Mus musculus: one gene and its partners. The protein of the gene in region 2 interacts with the protein of the main gene of each other region in a biochemical or structural test. Links are inferred from orthologs where the notes say so. Each region holds a gene or a part of one and is shown on either strand. Other genes may lie near its edges. The genes, in order: Cdca5, Cdk1 and Pkmyt1.

Region 1 (3,747 bases), on a different chromosome or scaffold from region 2:
TGCCTCTGCCTTCTGAGTGCTGGAATTAAAGGTGTGCACCAGCACCCAGCACCTTTTACACTGCGTATGCATGTGTCCGGAAGAGGGCGTTGGATACTCTCAAACTGAAGCTGTAGGTGTGTAGGGTCCATCTGATGGAATCTGAAAACTGCTTTTACCCAGAACCATCTTTCCAGCCCCTACACATAACTCATTCTATAACCATAAAACAAACAAACAAACAAACAAAACATAAATAAACACTCAGCAAAACAACCTTATCACTCTGTGGACCAGGCTGGCCTAAAACTCCGAGATCCGCCTGCCTCTGCCTCCCAAATCTTGCGACTAAAGGCGTGCGCCATCACAACATCACAACAAAACAGTGGCAAAACAGTCTACAGAAGCCCAGTGGTTAAACCATAACTTTTTAAGAAAAATAGTGAGAATGTTCAGAGCATAAAGAACTAGAAATGAGGGGTTGGGGTTGGGGATTTAGCTCAGTGGTTTTCAGCTCTGGGGAACAAAACAAAACAAAACAAAAAAACCCAAAAAAAAAAAGAAATGAATGACACCCATAGGCAGGAAACAAGACTGGTAACTACAGTCAGTCCTGGTAGCATGCCCATCTCTAAGATTTGAATCTATCTGCAGAGACTGGTGCAGGTGGATCTCTATGAATTTGAGGCCAGTCTGGTCTACCGTAACTTCCAGTTCAGGAAACAGTGTTATACACTGAGACCTAAACTGACAAGCCATGAAGCAGTTGCCTGGGTAGAAGTGTATGCCTACCCTCTAAGGGTAAATCCTACACAAATAAACAGAAATAAACAGAACTGAACTCACCCTAGGACTTCTTCGAACCGTGTGGACATCTGGGACCTGTAGGGATGACATCAACTGATCAATCAATAGCTAAGCCCAGTTTTGACATCTCACTCCCAAAGCCTTCTCTCAGCCCCTCACCTCTACTGCATGAGCTACGATCTTCTTCAAGACGATGGCCTTTCTGACTGGGACCGCTGGAGTTGTCTGGGGGGGGTAAAAGAAAGTATTATCCATGAGCTTTACAATAGTTCAAAGCCCTCTAGGTCAGTGTAAAAGTACTTTGGGAGCCGGGCAGTGGTGGTGCACGCCTTTAATCCCAGCACTTGGGAGGCAGAGGAAGGTGGATCTTTGAGTTCGAAGCCGGCCAGGTCTACTAAGTAAGTGAGTTCCAGGACAGCCAGGGCTATACAGAGAAACGTTGTCTCGAGGAAAAAAAAAAAAAGTACTTTGGGGGTGTTGCTGAGAAAAGTTTTCCTTATCTTCTATCCAAGACTTCTCAGCCTCTAAGCCTGGTTCTAAGTTTGTAAGTTCTTGCACCATGTTGGGCACCAACTGTGGAAGCATTGGGCGGGAGTTTTTTGACTCCCTTGCTCCCAAATAACTGCAGGGCATTTCTTCCCCCCAACGCCACTACCTCCTGAGTAAAGGACACAGAGCTGTTATTCAAAGGCTGCTGGCACTATGTTGGGCAGGTTCTGAGCTACTCTAACCCTCTCAGGCTGCCTATCTACCAGTCACACGGTCCTCTACCTGAATCTCAGTCTTACTCTGACTCAATCTGGTCCATGTGTGCCCTCATGACTGCTCTCTCCCTCCTCTTGACCTTAGAGTGAAACCACCTGCTCTCTCCGCGCCTCCCCCTCTCCCACTTCTCTCTCCCTAGACTCTTCCGGACGCCTCAATGGGCGCTGATGTCCCGCCTCCTCTGTCCTCTCCTGCCCAGCCATAGGCTGATCAGCTCTTTATCAACCAATCAGAGATGATTTAAAAAAAAAAAAACAACAGTGAGCCCGGAGGTGCTAGTTAGCCGGACTAAGGATACCTAGGCATAGAAATTAGCATCTGAATACGCAGCGCACAAACCCAACCCCAACACCTGGGGGACCAGGAACTCACCCTCGGCCAGATTTCAGAGAACGAGTTCGGGAGATCTGAGCCAGATTTCCGCTTGGACGACTTCGAAGGCTTAGTAAGTGAAGTCCTGGGCCCTGGAAAGGAAAACACGTTTGATGGTGAGCAAAACTTTGCTCGAAGAAAAGGCGACAAACAAACGAAACAAGATGCTTGACGAGTTCGGAAAAGCAAAAGTCGTTTTCCAACTACCCCTTTGGGGCGTCTTCCACCGGGAGCCAAGTTTTGTTCCCCAAACAACCCCGCTCCACTGCTCCCGTGCTCACCAGACCGCTGGGCAGCCCCTCCTGATCGTGTTCGCCGCTCCGCCATGTGTACGGTCGGGCTCAGTCTCCGCCGCGGTCGCCTACTCAGGCTCGCGCCAACCGGGAACTTTGCTGCTTCAAACGTTCAAATTGCCCGCCTTGCTAGCGAGAAAGCGGAAGTGACACAGGCCGGAGGCGGACCATCCGCTTTTGTTGTCACAGGCTTTACGTCTAGCTAGCAAAAGGCAGAGGCGTATCCTGCGGCGCTGTGGCGTCATCAGCGTGCGCCGCACCCGGAAGAGACGTGGCAGCGGAGGGATAATCAGGCCGGACCTGAAGGGAGCGGAGCTGCAGCTACCGGAGTTGGTGAGCTCAGTCCCCGGCCTTCCGCGCTTTTCATTACCGTACGCACCGGTCACGATCGGCATCGCGGAGGTTCGCGGACATCCAGAATGTGGTCGGCCAGCTGGGGGCGGGTCAAGAGGGGGTGGGTCTTGGGGGCGGGGCTGGTGGTATTGGAGCTGTGCAGAGATCTGGCGAGGGCCTTCCTGGGTCTTGATGGAATGAAGGGTCGGTCGTTTGTGGTACGATCTGTACAGGAGACGTGGCTTTACCCATGCTAAGGCATTATGCTAGAATTTGGTGTTGGGACTGGTGTGAGACGGGACTGAGAGATTTAAAAGAAGAGAACTGGGTTGGTGAAAACAAACTGGCAGCCACCAAAACCTGGCTTCCTGCTAACTGATTTCACCCCACCACACCCTCCAGGATCGGTCATGGGACTTTGCAAGTGCCCCAAGAGGAAGGTGACGAACCTGTTCTGCTTCGAACACCGAGTTAACGTCTGCGAGCACTGCCTAGTAGCCAATCACGCCAAGGTGGGGCGTTTAGAGCAGTGTCTGAGCAGGGCGGGTGGGTGGGCAGACAAGATTGCCTACTTCTAAATCCATGTGGGGACCTATGCTAGACTGTAAGCTCCACAAGGGCAAGAACATGGGGTGTGATGCGCTCTGCTATGCCTTCAGTAGCTGCTCAATAAATGGTCACTCAATAAATGGAACAGATGAAATGATGAGTCTGATGAGAGAAAACGAGGCATTTGAGCCTTGGAGTGGTGTGTGCATCGTGGAGCCTGGGGCACCAGTTGTGACATCTCTCTCCCACTCCAGTGCATCGTGCAGTCCTACTTGCAGTGGCTACAAGATAGTGACTACAACCCCAATTGCCGCCTGTGCAACACACCCCTGGCCAGTCGGGAGACCACCCGTCTTGTTTGCTATGGTGAGGCCTGGGAAGGGGTCAGGGCAGCCCCAGGATCCAGCTTGGATACAGGTTTGATAGCATCTTTCAAGAAGCAAGACAGTGAGTCCCTCAAGCGTGGAGGTCAGAGCCTCAGATCCTGATTCCTTTAGGTACCGTCCTGTTTTATAAAGCCTCAGCAAGCCTTTTCTCTTCGTAGGCCTTAGAATCTTCCCTGAAAGTTAGAGCTTCTCCTTCCTGCTCTGCCAGTCTGGGAGAGCTAGAGATGACTATGAGCTGTGGCTGGGAGAAAGATCCACTTTAG
Region 2 (3,747 bases):
TGTGGCCTCGTTCGCTGCAACACTGTTTCAAAAGGAAACAAAGTACAACTGTAAAGTCCAACCACTAGGAATAACAGTTGTTGTTGTTGTTTTTAATAAAAGCATCTGTTTACCTTATAAGCATTCAATTCTCCAGGCAGTGGTGGCACATGCCATTAATCCCAGCACTTGGGAGGCAGAGGCAGGCGGATTTCTGAGTTCGAGGTCTACAAAGTGAGTTCCAGGACAGCCAGGGCTACACAGAGAAACCCTGTCTCGGGGGAAATAAACAAAAAACAAAAATCATTCAATTGAATGCTTCCCAAAAGCAGCCACAGACAATCCCACTCAAGGTACTCAAAGAGAAAGAAATGTCCATAAGCACCTTAGAAGAAAGAATGGAAGGTGTTGTGCTGTGCTGGCTAGCTTTAGGCCAGGTCACATTGTCACAAGCTGAAGTCATCTTGAGAGGAGAGAACCTCAGTTAAGAAAATGCTCCCATAGGATGGGGCTGGAGGCAAGTCTTTAGGTCAGTTTCTTAATTAGAGATTGATGGGGGCGGGCTCAGCCCGTTGTGGGTGGGGTCATCCGTGGGCATATAGGGTCCTGTGTTCTTAAAGCAGGCTGAGCAAGCTATGTGAAAGAAGGCAGGAAGCAGCCCCCTCCATGGCCTCCTGCCTCCAGGTTCCTGTCCAGACTTCCTCTGAGGCCGAACTGTGACGTGGAAGTACAAGACAACTAAACCCTTTCCTTCCCAAGTTCCTTTGCTTTGGTCATGGTGTTTCATCCCAACAACGCTAAGACAGTGTGTTTGCTAATCATGCTTTGAAAAATATCACGAACAAGGGAGAAACAATTTCTTGGCTCACAAAGAATGGTAGGAAAAAGGTGTGCCTTCTCCTTGAAAGCCCTCTGCCACGGGTGACAAGATCCTTATGAATGAGCATCAAGGAATGGCTGACCTCTCGTGAGCTGTTCCTTACAGATCTCTTTCCACAGTAAAATCAACTCCATGGGGTGTGGGGGCACAGCCAGGAATCCCAGCTCTTGGCACTGCACAAGGAGGCAGCGGCTCAACAGATAAAAATTCAGAAGGAAAATGTAAACCCGTCCAAGGGTCCTGCCAGGCATCCCACTGAACCCTGGGGATTCTCAGACACATAAGATTGACTCTCAACTATGGAGATTATGTTTAGGAAATTTCAACGCATCCCCCCCCAACCCCCTTTCTTCAATACAGAGACTTAATATAACTATAGAGCATTAAACGTTTCAACCACCTCTGCACAGACAGCAAAGAGTTAACATGTCTTGAAAGCTGGGCTTATTTCCTTCCAACATTTTCCAGTCTCCCGGGCCTGCTGTTAAAAGCTGCCCAGTGTATCCAAGTTGGGGGCAGGCGATGGTGGCCCGCACATCAGAACCTTCATCGGTATTTATGTTTTAAGACGATCAAGGACGCGAAGGCATCCGCGGTTCTCCCTCTCTCTCCTTCTTTGCCTGGGTACAGTCTGTGGCCTTAGCACAGGCAACTAAAAATAAACGATCCTACACTTTCTTGGTTCTGCACCTTGGTAGGAATAAGCTTTTTAAACGACCACGGGTCTGTTTCTCCGGCAGTACCGACTTAAGGCCTCCGAAGGCAGCTGGCCTGGTGCAGCCCAGCTCCACACTGGCAGCCAACAGGGCCTGGGACATAACTTGGCACCCCGCCCACACCCGGGCCCACTCCAGCGAGGCCCATCCAGTCTGCAGGAACCTGGAGCTCGCGTAGGGGCCTGCACGTCCGCAGGACCCGGGGCTCAAGTGAGCCTTGCCCTTCCATAAGGGACCGCTGGATCGGGTGAGCCCTGCCCCCCCCCCCCATAGGGATCCCAGGCTCCGGTGAGCCCTGCTCCTCCATAGTGTCCCCAGGCTCAGGTAGGCCATGCTCCTGCATAGGGGACCCTGGCCTCAGATGAGGACATGCTCATCCATAGGGTACCCCAGACCCCGGGCTCAGGGAGGCCATGCCCGACCATAAGGGATCCCGGACTTAGGTGAGGCCCTACCCGTCCACAGGAGACCAAGATCTCACGTGGAGGCCCTACCCGTCCACAAGGGATCCCCAGGCTCACATGGATGTCCTGCCCTTCCCCGGGGGAACCCCCAGATCCCGTGGAGCCCCCGCAGGCCCAGCCTGCACCCAGTCCGACTCACGCCATACCTCTCTGTCCCGGCTGGGGCCACACCGCAGTTCCGGACTGCGCGGACGCAGCAACTCCAGGAGCTTAGAGGCCGAGTGCCAGCAGTTTCAAACTCGCCGCGGTAAAGCTCCCGGGATCCGCCAATCCGATTGCACGTAGACGTTCAAAGGAGCCAATCAGAGCTGAGCTACGCTTGGGCGGGGCTGCCTGGGAGCGCAGAGCGCGAAAGGGAGCGGAAACCGCGGCCAGAGGAATTGCAGGAGGGCGGGCGCCAACTGACTCTTGAGCTCTGTTTTCCTTCCAATATCGTCCTGTTGTTTCTGGACAGTCTAATCTATTCTCTTTTTTCTCCAGCTACCTTTCTGTGTGTAATTTCCCTCCAAGACTAACACAATTCAAATGCATTGAATTTAGATAGCCAGCCACCAAAGTGACAGTACCACTACATCAAGAGCTTGTTATTAGCTGGGCGTGGTAGCACACACCTTTAGTCTCAGCTTTCGGGAGGCAAAGGCAGGGCAAATTTCTGAGTTCGAGGCCAGCCTGGTCTACAGAGTGAGTTCCAGGACAGCCAGGGCTACACATACAGAGAAACCCTGTCTCGAAAAACCAAAAAAAAAAAAAAAAAAAAAAAAGAGTTTCTTACTTTTATTTTGTTTTGTTTTGAGACAAGGTTTCTGGGTGTAATTTTGACTGACCTAGAACTTGCTCTGTAGACCAGGCTGGCCTTGAACTCACAGAGATCCTCCTGCCTCTGCCTCCAGAGTACTGGGGTTAAAGGCGTGTGCTGCCACCACCACCTGGCTATTGCTAACATTTAAAATTACTTTATGATTATGCCTTTCAAAATTCTATATTAAGCTGGGATAATATAAATAATATATAATATTAATATATAATATATTAGTTTACATATGTATGTGTGTATATATATGTGTGTGTGTGTGTATATATGTGTGTGTATATATATATATACATATATATATATATATATATCTGAGGATTGTGGCACACACCTTTAATATATGTATATATATAATATTAAGTTTCACTATGGAATTTTCAGACAATATTGGTCTGTGTTAATTCTTCTCATCCCTTCTCCCAGTAACCCTAGTCCCCGCACCTCGTAACTGCACGCCCCCAAGCCCATAGCCCTCTGTGTCCTATCACCATGTCCATGACTCTAATCCCCCCCCCCACTCGGGCAGCCTTTCCTTTCTAGTTGGAACCTTATATACACACTAACATATGAACATTACATGCTAGGATCCGCCTATGAGAAAGAACATGAAGTGTCTGTCTCTCTATGTCTGTGTCAGGTAACTTGATGTATTTTCCAGCTCTCCCGTGTTCCTGCAGATTATGTTTTTTTCAATGAGTTTTTAGCAGCCAGCAGAAGGATCACATTTAAAGTACCTTAAGAAGACAAGAGGATAGGAACCAATGAAACACTGAAAGACACCCTCAAAACTGAAAAGAAAAAATGCCAGCCTGTTTCTGTGATTATACACTTATGTATTCATTATGTATACAATGATAACACACTAAATGTTTTGACATATCTCCACATAAGAATGTT
Region 3 (3,647 bases), on a different chromosome or scaffold from region 2:
GTGCCCAAGCCTAGACCCCGGGCTTGCTCACCTAGGTATGTACCTGCCCCGAGGGGTAGAGGTTCTTCTAGTGATCCGGGACAGGACGGTCTCTGGGGAGAGTGAGGGACTACAAGAAAGAGGACAAGCAGGGTGGTGACGGTTGGGCAAAGTAGGATATAAACAGCCCTGCTCCTCCTTGTTTCAGGCCTCTGCTTGGTGAAGGGACAAGGCACACTTGAAATAAACACTGGCAGCTGACAAGTTCTCCCGCCTGACCACATTCATGGGTTAACTCTGTCCCTTTTCAGGTCCAACTGAGCTGGGTGTGGAGTTTTGGTAAATGAAGCTTCTCTAGCATTTAGAACGAGCCGTCAGAGTGAGGGGATATTTCTATAATGGGAGGCATCCTGAGAGCATAAGGTTCCTCCTTGCAGCCGTTTCTTAATTATACACTCTTTCCCTTGGCTAGCAGACACCTGGGAGCAAGGGAATCCTCTCAGGACAGGGACTTACCAGGTGCTGGGAGGTGTCCACTCAGTGGAAGACAGCACTTTATCTCTGAACAGGGACAGCCTCTACAGAGGTGGGGACTGCAGTTGTGCACTGAATGTCACAGCTGCCTACACAGACCACCATCTACCTCTACACTGGCAGTCTTTGTCCCCTGAGTGTGACAGGGGCCCCGAGACCCCTCGCATTGACCACAATGATGTACACACACACCACCCACCCTATGCTGTCATTATCCCAGCTGCTGGAGAGGGTGCTGTCCAGGAGGGGGCTGCAAGGTGGAGAGCCAGGTGGTGTGGCCGGTGGGCCTGGAGGCTGCAGCCAACTGGCAGGATGCACCAGCCCGTGCCAGAGCCAGCAGAGCAGAGTGACCAGGGCCTAAAGAAAGAATGAGCCTCAGAAACCAAGCCTTGTGATGAATCACAGCACTTGGGAGGCTGAGGTAGGAATATGATGAGTTCAAGGACAACAGTAATCTATACAGTAAGTTCAGAAGTGAGCCTCAGGAGGCCAGGAAGGTCACCTGGGCAAGGAACGGGTAGGGTAGCCCAGCACCATAAAGGCTTACCTGCCACAGGGCCCAGCCTCGACTTAGGGCTTCCGCAGCCATATACCACAGAACATTCCAGGGACGTGGCTGCCTCAGCATGGGTAAGGCCAACAGGGCCTCAGCTGTGGCTCGAAGCTGGGGGTCAGGCTCCAGCATCATGGCGAGGACAGAACGCAGCTCAGAAGACAGACCTGCCGATGAGGCAGGGCCATGTCGGGGCAGGGTACTGACTGGGCCCTTAGTCCAATGGTGCCCCCTACTACTCACCACCCCTTGCCAGAAGCTGGTGATAGTTGGCTCTTCTTCTGAACCACTCACCAGCAGTGAACTCAGGGGGCAAGTATCCCTGGCGCAGCTGCTGCCAGCCCTCCCCACCATGGGGCAGTTCCATGTTACAGGCCACTTCCAAGATGGTGAGACCCAGACTAGGAAGGACAGGACGCGAAGACAAAAAGAGGCAGAGTCAGCTTTGTGACACACATCCCAATCCTATCCAGCATTCTGGTGGGAAAGGGCCGTTCTCTTCTACCATAAACCATAAAGTTAGTGAGAAAGGGGTAAGGAGCTTTGAGGAGAGCCCTGGAGGGCCAGTGAGCACCAGTCAAGATGGACACCTTGAAGTATGGACTCCACACTCAAGCAGCTAGCCCATCAGAACCACACTGACATGCAAATGGTTCCATGGTTACTAGGGTTGGCATCATCATTCTGTAGAGATGAACAGAATACACTGAGGCAGGGTAGTAGTAGCCAGTATGGTCTCAAAACCCTGGGTCTGGCTGTAGTCCCAGATGTTAACTGTGGACTTAACAAGTCCCTCCACCTCATTACTCTCCCTGTCCTGGAGCACAGCCATGAAGCTGCAAGGAGACGGCTAGCCTACAGTATAAAGGGCCTCTGGCAGGCTTGCTGCTTACTCTGGAAACCTTTCAGCTAGCAGGGAGTGACAGCACCTCCCAGGCTGGATTGCCCTCCTACCCTGTGCCAGGAAGGAGCTCCTCTATCAGGCAGTCCCTTTCTGTCTGCTGATCAGCCACCAACAAAGGGCTCTTACAGTCCTCACCCAGGCCTCACCTGAACACATCTGCTGCTGTCCCATAAGAGCCCTGCAGCAGTTCTGGGGCCATGTAGCGAGGATCTCCCTCCTGGGCCTCGCCAGCACCGGCTGAACCCAGCTCCACCAGTAGTCCAAAGTCGCCCAGCTTGCAGCGGCCCCGGGGGCCCAAGAAGATGTTGGCAGGCTTGACATCAAGGTGAACTAGGCCTTGACTATGTAGATGGTCCAGAGCCAGAAGAATGTCCCGCAAGTAGCCCCAGACCTGGGCCTCTGGCAGGCTGGCCCCCCAGGCTTCACAGTGTTGCTGCAGGCTGGGCCCGCAGAGTTCTGTCTGCAGGTATAGGATGCCACCCTCCTCCCAGGCCCGCTCCAGTCTCACGCAGTGTGGATGCTGCCCCACTTTCTCATGGCCACCTACCTCAGCCAGTTTACGAGTTCGGTCTTTGGGGCCGCGGAATGGCGACATGTAGCGCTTAACAGCATAGAGTCGCCCATCTTCCTTAGAGCGCACCTGGAAGGGAGGTGTTGCCCAGAAGCAGGATGTGGGGGCAGGGGATGGGGCAATCAAAGAATGCTGTCCTGATTTCACAACGTAGGGGAATCCATGTCAGCCTTAGACCTCTGCGTGCAATGATAACTAACTGGACACATGCATGTCCACTGCACAACGGTGCATCAGAGACCCAGCAACAGAGGAGGTGGGGTAGACCTATGTGCTATGACCAGGGTCCAGTGCTAAGAGGAAATGGTAGTCCCCCAAACCACGGACAGTGTCTCTGCTGTGTCCAGGCTTTCCTCTACAGAGGAAAAGGGTCTGTGCCGCTTGCATTTTAAATAAAATTGCTTTTCAATAATGCTTGCATAAAGGAAAGCTACTATTTTAGGAGAAATGTAATTGGAAAATTAAAACCATATTAAAGAAAATGATGGGCTGGAGAGATGGTTCAGTGGTTAAGAGCACTGACTGTTCTTACAGAGGTCATGAGTTCAATTCCCACCATTCAATTGGTATTAGGATCCAATGCCCTCTTCTGGTGTTTCTGAAGACAGTTTCTTTCTCTCTCTCTCTGTCTTTTTTCTCTCTCTCCCCCTCCCCCTCTCCCTCTCTCTCTGTATGTGTGTGTGTGTGTGTGAATCTTTAAAAAAATAGAAAAGAAGATGATGATGAGCCAAGGAGAGGAACAGCTTTTGAACCTGCTAGCCTAGGGAATATGGTGTGGGATTAGCTCCAGGTCAGACAGACCCAGCCATGGACGCGCCAGCACAGCCATCTCCAGGCAGAAAGCAGAGAACTGCTGTGGGCTGTGCTAGGCCTGGACAAGAGGCCAGTGTGCATGAGGTAGCTCTTGAAGGTACTTGATCTTGGGATGGAGAGTGGTTGTTCAGTCCTAGAGAGGAAGGCTGTCAGAGAAGAAAGGGCTGCAGGGTGCCTAGGACACTATTCCACTCAAGTAGGGAACCCAAGGCAAAGAGGCTCCTGCGAAGCCTGGGAAACCACCCTCCATTTACCTTGAAGACTTCTCCATATGAGCCATGACCCAGGCGGCT

Evidence for each region.
Region 1: of the proteins of Cdk1 (region 2) and Cdca5, one has a biochemical effect on the other in vitro, tested with the Homo sapiens proteins (2 studies listed by BioGRID). The link is inferred for Mus musculus from reciprocal best matches to the Homo sapiens genes CDK1 and CDCA5.
Region 3: of the proteins of Cdk1 (region 2) and Pkmyt1, one has a biochemical effect on the other in vitro, tested with the Homo sapiens proteins (2 studies listed by BioGRID and IntAct). The link is inferred for Mus musculus from reciprocal best matches to the Homo sapiens genes CDK1 and PKMYT1.

What each region holds. Positions count from the first base shown.
Region 1 is NC_000085.6:6,083,666-6,087,412, reverse strand, and holds the start of Cdca5 (sororin), read right to left. Parts: upstream 2,317-3,747; 5' UTR 2,251-2,316; coding exon 2,205-2,250; intron 2,016-2,204; coding exon 1,924-2,015; intron 1,012-1,923; coding exon 946-1,011; intron 862-945; coding exon 826-861; intron 1-825. Other genes in the region: Zfpl1 (zinc finger protein-like 1), read left to right, coding at 2,960-3,061, 3,353-3,464. UniProt on the Homo sapiens protein: Regulator of sister chromatid cohesion in mitosis stabilizing cohesin complex association with chromatin. May antagonize the action of WAPL which stimulates cohesin dissociation from chromatin.
Region 2 is NC_000076.6:69,350,651-69,354,397, forward strand, and holds the start of Cdk1 (cyclin-dependent kinase 1), read right to left. Parts: upstream 2,263-3,747; 5' UTR 2,186-2,262; intron 1-2,185. UniProt on the Homo sapiens protein: Plays a key role in the control of the eukaryotic cell cycle by modulating the centrosome cycle as well as mitotic onset; promotes G2-M transition via association with multiple interphase cyclins.
Region 3 is NC_000083.6:23,732,786-23,736,432, reverse strand, and holds part of Pkmyt1 (membrane-associated tyrosine- and threonine-specific cdc2-inhibitory kinase), read right to left. Parts: coding exon 3,609-3,647; intron 3,501-3,608; exon of another isoform or gene 2,611-3,500; coding exon 2,117-2,610; intron 1,468-2,116; coding exon 1,361-1,467; intron 1,234-1,360; coding exon 1,061-1,233; intron 871-1,060; coding exon 713-870; intron 248-712; exon of another isoform or gene 110-247; coding exon 32-109; exon of another isoform or gene 1-31. UniProt on the Homo sapiens protein: Acts as a negative regulator of entry into mitosis (G2 to M transition) by phosphorylation of the CDK1 kinase specifically when CDK1 is complexed to cyclins. Mediates phosphorylation of CDK1 predominantly on 'Thr-14'. Also involved in Golgi fragmentation.